2 linked regions of the Neurospora crassa OR74A genome follow. Each later gene encodes a partner of the first gene's protein in a complex. Links are inferred from orthologs where the notes say so. Each region holds a gene or a part of one and is shown in the gene's direction. Other genes may lie near its edges. The genes, in order: dot and NCU06091.

Evidence for each region.
Region 2: the proteins of dot (region 1) and NCU06091 are in contact, whole or in part, in a crystal structure (PDB 4TU3), measured with the Saccharomyces cerevisiae proteins. The link is inferred for Neurospora crassa OR74A from reciprocal best matches to the Saccharomyces cerevisiae genes SAC1 and VPS74. Residues at the interface, in NP_012710.1 of Saccharomyces cerevisiae: Gln9, Tyr69, Ile95, Ser97, Thr98, Lys99, Phe100, Asn101, Ser102, Arg103, Ile104, Ile112, Glu116, Lys120; in NP_010660.1 of Saccharomyces cerevisiae: Ser164, Gly165, Glu166, Thr167, Trp168, Asn169, Leu170, Leu171, Lys172, Ile173, Gln176.

Annotation. Positions count from the first base shown.
Region 1 is NC_026501.1:6,839,569-6,844,130, reverse strand, and holds the start of dot (synaptojanin-1), read left to right. Parts: upstream 1-1,475; 5' UTR 1,476-1,990; coding exon 1,991-2,198; intron 2,199-2,270; coding exon 2,271-4,012; intron 4,013-4,092; coding exon 4,093-4,266; 3' UTR 4,267-4,562. Other genes in the region: NCU00895 (RAB GTPase Ypt5), read right to left, coding at 1-216, 284-475, 537-583, 642-717. UniProt on the Saccharomyces cerevisiae protein: Phosphoinositide phosphatase which catalyzes the hydrolysis of phosphatidylinositol 3-phosphate (PtdIns(3)P) and phosphatidylinositol 4-phosphate (PtdIns(4)P). Has low activity towards phosphatidylinositol-3,5-bisphosphate (PtdIns(3,5)P2).
Region 2 is NC_026507.1:1,844,774-1,849,284, reverse strand, and holds NCU06091 (vacuolar protein sorting-associated protein 74), read left to right. Parts: upstream 1-1,407; 5' UTR 1,408-2,155; coding exon 2,156-2,407; intron 2,408-2,618; coding exon 2,619-2,865; intron 2,866-2,964; coding exon 2,965-3,425; intron 3,426-3,556; coding exon 3,557-3,646; 3' UTR 3,647-4,454; downstream 4,455-4,511. Other genes in the region: NCU06090 (hypothetical protein), read left to right, coding at 1-604.

The DNA of each region.
Region 1 (4,562 bases):
CAGGTTTTGCACGTTCTCGGCAGTCTTGGCAGAAGTCTCGAAGAAGAGAAGGCCGGCCTCCTTTGCATATGCCTGGGCGTCGGCCGTCTGAATCGCACGCTTATCGGGTTGCTCCTGCACGAGATCCAACTTGTTACCGGCAAGAGCGATAATGATATTCTCGTTTGCTTGGCGCTGAAGTTCCTTGACCCACGACTTGGCCTTGTCCAGAGATGCCTAGAAGGGGGTTACGTCAGCTCATGTCGCGCGGGCAGAGACAAGGACCTCGAGAAAGGCCACATACCGCCTGTGTGATATCGTAAACGACTACTGCACAGTTGGCATTTCTGTAGTACATGGGCGCTAGAGACTTGTAGCGCTCCTGGCCGGCGGTATCCCAGATCTCGAACTTGACCGTTGTGTTTTCGTCGAGAGCAATGGTCTGTGTTAGGAAAGCGGCGCCAATCGTGGATTCTCTGTACGAGTCAAACTGGTCCTGGATGGAGGTCAGTTGCCCGCTTCAATCCCATCAAGCGCCGAGTAGGAGCTGGGCGTACCTTGACGAAGCGCAAGACTATCGAGCTCTTTCCAACCGCCGATTCACCTGCATGCAGGTCAGCATCAAAGCCCCCCTCCACGAGCCCATTATCATTGTTACGAACCCAACAATACCAGCTTGAACTGGGCAAAGCGGTTTCCCATGCCGGGGCGCGCGCCGGGAGGTCCACGAGTGGCCATTATGGACAGATGATGTGGTGTGGTGTGGTGACGTTGATGTGTAGTCGGGAGATTAGACGGGGTTGCTGGCGAAGCGGGTTGCGGCGCTACCGGGGGTGGCCAGATTAATTAACCAAGAGATAAAAGGGCAAAGAGGTGTCAGGTGCTTGATTAGTCGTTTGCAGGTCGCCACTACAAAGGCTGGACGGGAACGTGACGCGCGAAGCAGCAAGTTTGGGTATCGGGTATGGAGTCGTTGAAGCAGAAAATCGAGGAAAACAGTTGTTGTTGAGTTCAAGACAAGACGTTTGTTGTTGAAGGTGACGGAGGGCGGGAGGAGCAGCACGCCGCCGAAAGGAAGGCCAGGGAACAGTTCAGTGTGGGAGTGCCTGGTGGTGGTGGTGGACGGGATGACTGGGGGCCCCGTGGACGGATTAGGTTCGCTTCAGTGTTTGGTGTTTAATGGACAGGGCGGCCGTCATTCTGGTGATGACGGGGAAGGTCAGGTCGCTGGAAGCACTCTGACTACGGCAGCCCACCGCTGCAGCAATCCACTGGCGGGAGCCCTCAGCAGGAGCCCCCGGGCAGGTTGTGCTGCAGGGCGGTGCAAGAAATGGCACGTGCACTCGGGTCTTTCTTTACACGTGATTGGGCCGGGAGAGGAAGGGTTGCGTCACGCCAGCAGTGGCTTTGATGATGACGGCCGGCAGGGACGGAGCTGACTGAAAGGGGCAGGCGGGCATTTCCTGGTTGTGTGTATGTGTGTGTGTGGTGATGATGTTTTGGGGGCAAGCACTTCCTTCAGCGGCTTCGAGTTTCATCGAGGTGATCAGGTCTCTGGATGCTACAGGTAGTGCGGTACCTACCTCTACCTCTACCTCTATGGTAGGTGCCCGGGCAGTGGCCACAATGTTCGACGGTGACGGGAGGTGGGATTCCGGGCAACTGAACAACTTAAAGTGGAAGTGTTCGTTCCACTGCATCGCATTGGATGTCCTGGAAATTCCACACGTCAACGCATCCGGGGAAGGCGCAGTGAGATTACCGCCCGCTAACAGACCCGCTACAAGGACCGGCAACAGGAGGCAAAACTTCCAGAGTTCAGGGCCCTGTAGGTCCATGTCCAGATCGGGACACTGTATCGAAACAACATAATTTCGGTCCATTTCATGACGAGGCCATCCCCAAGTCTGTTGCTGTCCCTTTTCATCCGTCCCTCAAGAACGTCGTCCAAGTGCTTCCCGTCGAGTCAGCTTCTACGATATCTGCAGACAACATACATTGCCTCATCATCATGACGCTCCCCTTCCGGGACATCAACGTCCAGGCCGCCTCGGACTCTTACATCTTCACCTCGCCCTCCAGTCCCAATGCGCCGGCCTTGACAATCGACCGCCCCACTGGCGATATCCGTCTGAGCGATGCCTCCCTCCTCGCCGGCAAGCGCGTTGCCCGCGTATCCAGCATCGCCGGTATCCTGGGTGTTGTCAGGTTGCGCCTAGGTGAGTGAGGACAACAATCAACCCCTGTATCGTCATGTAACTCCTTTCCGTAAACTTACCTACGTTTCGCAGATAAGTACATCATCGTCATCACCAAAGCGCAACCAGTCGGCCGCCTCAGGGGCCATATGGTGTACAAGGTTGTCGCGACCGAGTTCCTCCCCCTCCGCGAACGACAGATTCACGACCACGATGAGGACAAGTTCTTGAACTTGCTCAAGGGCTTCATCAAGTCCGGGCCCATGTACTTTTCCTACTCGCTCGACGTCACAAACACCAGCCAGAGACAAGCCCAACATGACCTCTCCACGCCTTTGTGGCAGCGCGCCGACGACCGCTTTTTCTGGAACCGATTCCTCCAGTCCGACCTCATCAACTTCCGAACCAAGGGCGGGAGGGGCTCTCCTGCTCCCCAGCCCGGCATCGACCCCTACATTCTTCCCGTCATCTTCGGCATGTTCGAGATCCACCCGACCACCTTTAAGGGTACCCCCATAACGATTGCCTTGATCACCCGCCGATCACGACACCGCGCTGGTACCCGTTACTTCTCTCGAGGCATCGATGCCGAGGGCCATGCCTCCAATTACAATGAGACGGAGCAGATCGTGGTCTTGAACGACCGTGGTAGCGGCTTGGGAGGTTTCACTGGTAGCGGCGACATGCAGAGTGGGAAGCTTGGTGGAAGTGACGGCAAGGAGATGCAGGTCCTGTCCTATGTGCAAACACGTGGAAGTGTCCCTGTCTACTGGGCCGAAGTGAACAACCTCAAGTATACCCCTACGATTCAGCTCAAGAGCACTGAGGCCGCCTTCCCCGCAGCAAAGGCGCATTTCGACGAGCAGATCCGTCTCTATGGCGACAACTATCTGGTGAACCTGGTCAACCAGAAGGGCCGCGAGACCCGCGTCAAGCTAGCTTACGAGCAGATGGTCGACCGCCTCGTATCATCGCCCAAGGAACGTGTCCAGTCCGACGCATTAACCGACGAAAAGTTCCACACCATCGAAACAAGCACTAAGCCCCAGACCTCCTTCGACCGCCTTCACTACATCTACTTCGACTTCCACGCCGAGACCAAGGGACTTCAGATGCACCGTGCCCAGCTCCTCATCGACAGGATGCACGAGGCCCTGATTGCCCAGCAATACTTCCGCGCCGTCGACTCTCCCGCCAGCCAGGTCAACGGTGGCCGTCTTGAAGTTCGCAACCTCCAGACGAGCGTAGTGCGCACCAACTGCATGGACTGCCTTGATCGCACCAACGTTGTGCAGTCCATGCTCGCGCGCTGGACGCTTGACAGGATGTTCATCGACCTTGGCCTCATGGCGCGCGGCTCCCAGTTCAAGGACGAGGACCCGGCCTTCGAGTTCATGTTCCGCAACATGTGGGCCGATAACGCCGACATTGTGTCCAACAGCTACGCCGGCACCGGCGCCATGAAGACGGACCTGACCCGGACGGGCAAGCGTACCAAGGCCGGCGCGCTCGCCGACGCCAACATTGCTGTGACGAGGTACTGCAAGAACAACTTCTTCGACGGTCCAAGGCAGGACGCCTTTGACCTCTTCCTGGGCGTCTACCAGCCCGGCGCAGCGAACATTGGTTCTCAGCTGGTCTTTGTCGACCGCAGGCCGGTGTTGATCCAGGCGATCCCCTACCTGGCCGCCTTTAGTCTGTTCTTTGTCTTTGTGGGCATGTGGACGCCCAGGCTACCCGATAGTGCCGTGTGGCCGATGAGGCTGTTCATCATTTTCTGGACGGCTGTCGCGGCATGGTCGTTGACATTTATCATTTCGAACGGCATGCTCTATGTGAGTTCATTCCTTGCTTTAATTCATTTAAATTTTTTACCCCTTTCTCTTAGGAGGTTTACTAACATGAACAAAAACAGGTTAACTGGCCAAAGCTGGTTCCTCGCCCCTGGGCCGTGGAAGGTTATCACGAGACCATCACCAAGGTTGTGCGCAAGGACAAGATCCTTGGGCCATTGGTCGCTAAGCATGAGCGCGGCCTTAGCACGGCGCGGTACATCAACGCCGAGGAGGGTAAGAAGAGGATTGAGTAAAGTCTTGTTGACGCGTGGAAAAATCTGGTTCGGCGGAACGATCACAATGTTGGCATATAGAATAGACACATATTTTACAGGTTTAGGGTGACTGGCGACCGGTAGGGAACGAAGACCATGAGCTTTCCAGCTCTACATTCTTATTTTTATTTTCTTTTGTTGTATCAGTTTGACTAGTGTTTAGTTTTCTTTCCATACTTTGGAACCTTTAGAGGTCTTTTTTGTTTAAACCTGGTAATTGGTAATACCATTGAATTACACAAGTATTGTCATTGTTCTAGATGGAGAGTAGTGTG
Region 2 (4,511 bases), on another chromosome or scaffold:
GGAGGATCGGAAGCGGTCAGAGGCTATTGCCAGCTCGCGCAACTCTCCCCTAAGCATGCTCAGCCCCAAGGACGATGTTGAAACCAACTTTGCTTTCGGACGTCTCGCCTTCTCTGATGGTGTTCAGCTTTCTCGTGACGCCGCCTTTGTCAAGTCCGACGGAACCAAGAAGAAGGGCCCCACGGACGCCAAGTCCAAGCTTGCCAAGCTTGAGGCGCAGAAGAAGCGCCTCGAGGCCTTGCCTGAAGATAAGCGCAAGGAAGTCCTTGAGAAGGAGACGTGGCTCGCTGCTCGCAAGCGTGCCGAGGGCGAGAAGGTTCACGACGACGAGCACCTGCTCAAGAAGGCTGTCAAGCGCAAGGAGAAGGCAAAGAGCAAGAGCGCCAATGAGTGGAGAGAGCGCAAGGAGGGCGTCGCCAAGGCCCAGTACGATAGGTCAAAGAAGCGCGAGGAGAACATCAAGAAGAAGCAGGACGAGAAGAAGGCCCGCAAGATGGGCATCAAGGTCAAGAGCGGCAAGGGCGGTAAGGGTGGAGGAAAAGGTGCTTCCAAGGGTAAGAGCAGGCCTGGATTCGAGGGCGGATTCGGTGGTAAGAAGAAATAAGCGTCGGATAAGGTGTTCAGCAAGGGGTGTTTTGTCTTTTTGGAGAGAGATGTTGATACCACTGCTGCTGCATAGCGGCAGATGCTCGGGAGGCTGGCATATCCTTTTCCCATTCTTCTGCCTTGTCGCTACGTACATATTTCTTGCTGGAAGGGGGTAACAGGTGGTGTTTTTGGCGTTTGTTTTTTTTCCTCATGGTTTTTCGTTTCTTTTTTCTTTGCACGGTCGGAATGGAAAAAGAGATTATATCACACGTACATATCACAACTGGACCAGATCACGACAAGCGGTTAACATGGTACGAGGCTGGGCAAGCCTTGTCTTTTGTTCTTTTATACTTAGCTAGCTTTTAGTAGTGGTGGCGAAGGGAGGAGGTAGGGGCTGGAGGTCCCCCTTCTTCTTCAGCGAGGCAGCATCTTCAGGGAGTTAAAAAGTGATTATCAGCTCACCGAGTCTTTTCTCTTTTTTTGTCCGGTGACTTGAATTGGTGATGTGAGACGCATAGCTTCCCTTTCTTGCTTGTCTGATACCGAGGCGCTCTCCGGTGTAGGCGTTAAATTCCAGCTGTGAAATGAGGTGCTGTTAGTGCTGGGTGGTCGGACTCTACTTTATTCGCAATCAAAGCACTAACACGGCGCCTGGAAGCCGACATAATTCTAGGTGATGCTACACGATTTTATCATGATCGGAGCAACCCGTGTTCCGTTCCACAAGGGAAGCTTGGAAGGGGTTAATGACTTCATCCCTCGGTAGCATTGAACAAAGAAACAGCCGTTTCAAAACGTGGCCATTCAGAATATACAGGAAACACATAACCTAGCCATCTCCAACTGCACCCAAGTTTAAGGTTTGATACTTAGAACCCCTTTGCGCCGCAGGTGAACTGGACCCTGAGATTGGCTCTTGACCCGATTAGACTCCATCCGCCGCGCGGACCAGGACGGGATCCCACCTCTGGACTTTCTCTTTCTTTGACCGCTGCACAAAACAGCGTCCGGCACTGCTGCGCGCTGCCTGTGCCAACCAAAAGAGGGACCCGTCGAGCACCGACCCGTTACCTACGTACCTCTACATACCCGAGTCCACCACTCAGCCTCAACCAAACCTAACCATCCCCCCCCCCGTCGGTCCTGCTAGAGGTAGCCAAGAGAACACCAACAGACTAGCGAAACGACAAACACTCGCATCATCAAGAGCCGCGCCGAAGAGCGGCTTCCCACCACCCCCCAGACGACGACGACAACGAAGGACGGACCTCCACGTTCGGGACAATTGATCGACCAGGCTACTACCTCTACTAGTCGGCCTTACCCTTTCCTCTGAAACACAGGCTACACCCAGGCCTACCGAATCCCCAATCCGCAATCCTAATCCCCACGTGTTACCGCGAAACCGAAATTATTTCAATTCCCCCTGTCCGCGAAAACACGGGGAAATAATACCAGTGCACATACGCCCAAACTCGGCCGACCACATTCGCTTCGTGCCGCCCAATCATCACATCAGAAACAGTCCCCGATAAAGAAAAAAAAAACGAAGAAGAAGAAGAAGATGGCATCAACATCAGGCTTGACCCGGCGCAGGGGCGCGGGAGGAGGCAGCAGCGACGTCGGCGGCGGCGGCGGCGGCGGCGGCGCTTCCGACACGAGGGACGTTGGGCCCGACACGAGCTACGAGACGGGCGAGAACGGACACAGGATTGCCTTCGATCCCCGCGACCTGAGCGAGAGCGCAGAGAGGAGCAAGCAACCCAAGCTAACGCTGATGGAGGAGGTCTTATTGCTTGGCATCAAGGATCGCGAGGTTTGTCTCCACGTCTCTCTTTCTCTCAGTCTCGCTCGCTACACTATCCCTTTGTATGTTGTAGGGGCCTACCAAAGGGCTATCTTCTGACTATGGCTGGACTCGATATTGACGTTCGCCACGTGCTGCTCCTTGGACTGTTTTCATGATTCGGAATTCGGAACCTGGGCACGACGAGAGACGACATGGCTAACAAGACAACCCCCATCAGGGCTACCTTTCGTTCTGGAACGACAACATCTCCTATGCTCTTCGTGGATGCATTGTTCTCGAGCTGGCCTTCCGCGGCCGCATCAGTATGCAAAAAGACTCTTCCCGGCGGCGCTTCCCCCTGGCGGACCGAATCATCGAAGTCATTGACGACACTCTAACGGGCGAGGTGTTGCTGGACGAGGCCCTGAAGATGATGAAGACGAGCGAGAAGATGAGCGTCAGCTCCTGGATTGACTTGATGAGCGGTACGTGTTTGCGTCACTGCCCCATCTCCATTCCCCCCATGTCTATCGTGCACACCCAAGCGGAAGCAAACGTGCTGACATGACCTGTTAATACCACAGGCGAAACCTGGAACCTCATGAAAATCGGCTACCAACTGAAACAAGTCCGCGAGCGGCTCGCAAAGGGTCTGGTCGACAAGGGCATCCTGCGCACGGAAAAGCGCAATTTCCTACTGTTCGACATGGCCACACACCCCGTCGTCGAGGGCGCCGCCAAGGAGGACATCCGACGGCGTGTGCGCAACGTGCTGACGCAGCGCACCGTCGTGCTCACCCCGACCCAGTACCTGCCCGAGGACCTCGAGTTCCGGTACGTGCGGACAATCGCCATGGTGTGCGCGGCGCACGCAGCCAACGTGCTCGAGAACGCGCTGAGTACCCTCGGCCACGAGGCGAGGGAAAACGCCTTTTCCATGGCGGACGAGCTGTTGCTGCAGTACAGCCAGTGGCCGTTTGCGGCGAGGCCGTTGCCTGGTGGGAATGGTGGTGTGGGGGCGAACTTGCCGCAAGTTATTAATGAGGTACGTTTGTATGATTTCTTATCCAAGAGGTTCTGTTGGAAGAGGGAGAAAAAAGAACCCCTCCAAAAAAAAAAACCGAGCGGACTGTTCAAGCGAGAATTTTAGTTAACATATGCTCACCAAACAAACAGGAGGTCAACAAAGCAAAGGACAAGGAACTCCAGCTCGAAGTCGTGGCGGCTTGCTTGAGCGTATTCACTCGCCTTGACTCCCTGCTCTAAATGGCGCACGGCGGGAATTGTGAGAAAGCAAACAGCCCAGCCATTGAGGACAAGCGTGGGAGACACCCCGAAAAGCGAGAATGATGATGATGTGTTGTGCTGAGTGAGTGAAAGTCGGGGGAAGGAAGCCTTTTCACGATTACACTACGAACAAGGGGTGGTGGGTGGGCGCTGGGTCTTCGAGCGAGCGAGCGGGCAAGGGGTCAGTCAAGGCCGGCCTTCCTGATCCAACAACACGGAGGACGCAGCGCATTTTACCTGATTCACTCTATCACACCAGCGAAGCAACCGCGCAGAAGGGCCTACTATTTTACTTAATATCTTCACCTCGTCTCCTTGTATGGTAGGGTAGGTATGATGATGAACATTTTTTTTAATTTCCCTCTTTTGGTCTCCCACTTACTACTCTCTTCGAGGTCGAATAGGAGGAGGACGGGTTGGAGATGGTAAGAGGCTTGGGTTTTACTTGGAGGATATGAGAGGATTGGTGTGGATAGGTGGGCAGATACCGATGGACAATGAGGCGAAGCGAAGATGCGAAAATCAAAAAAGAACGGAAAAAAGAAAAATATGACAATGAAGGGATGAGTGCGTCGACCGGGGCGAAAGCGTAGTGTAGTGGTCTCACACATTGATTGATGCTGCACGTTTTCTGTACGTCTACTACACCTCTTACTTTATCATGGAAGTAATGGAATATGAACAGGATTAGGTTAGAGAAAGACGGTGGCGGTAACCCCATGGCAACCAAAATAGCTAAATTTTCAGTGATGGGTACGAAAAAAAAGGCATATGCTTTGTTCAGTCGTTTAGCCACATGTGTACCCTGACTTTAAATCCATGCTGTCATCTAGCTATAATACAG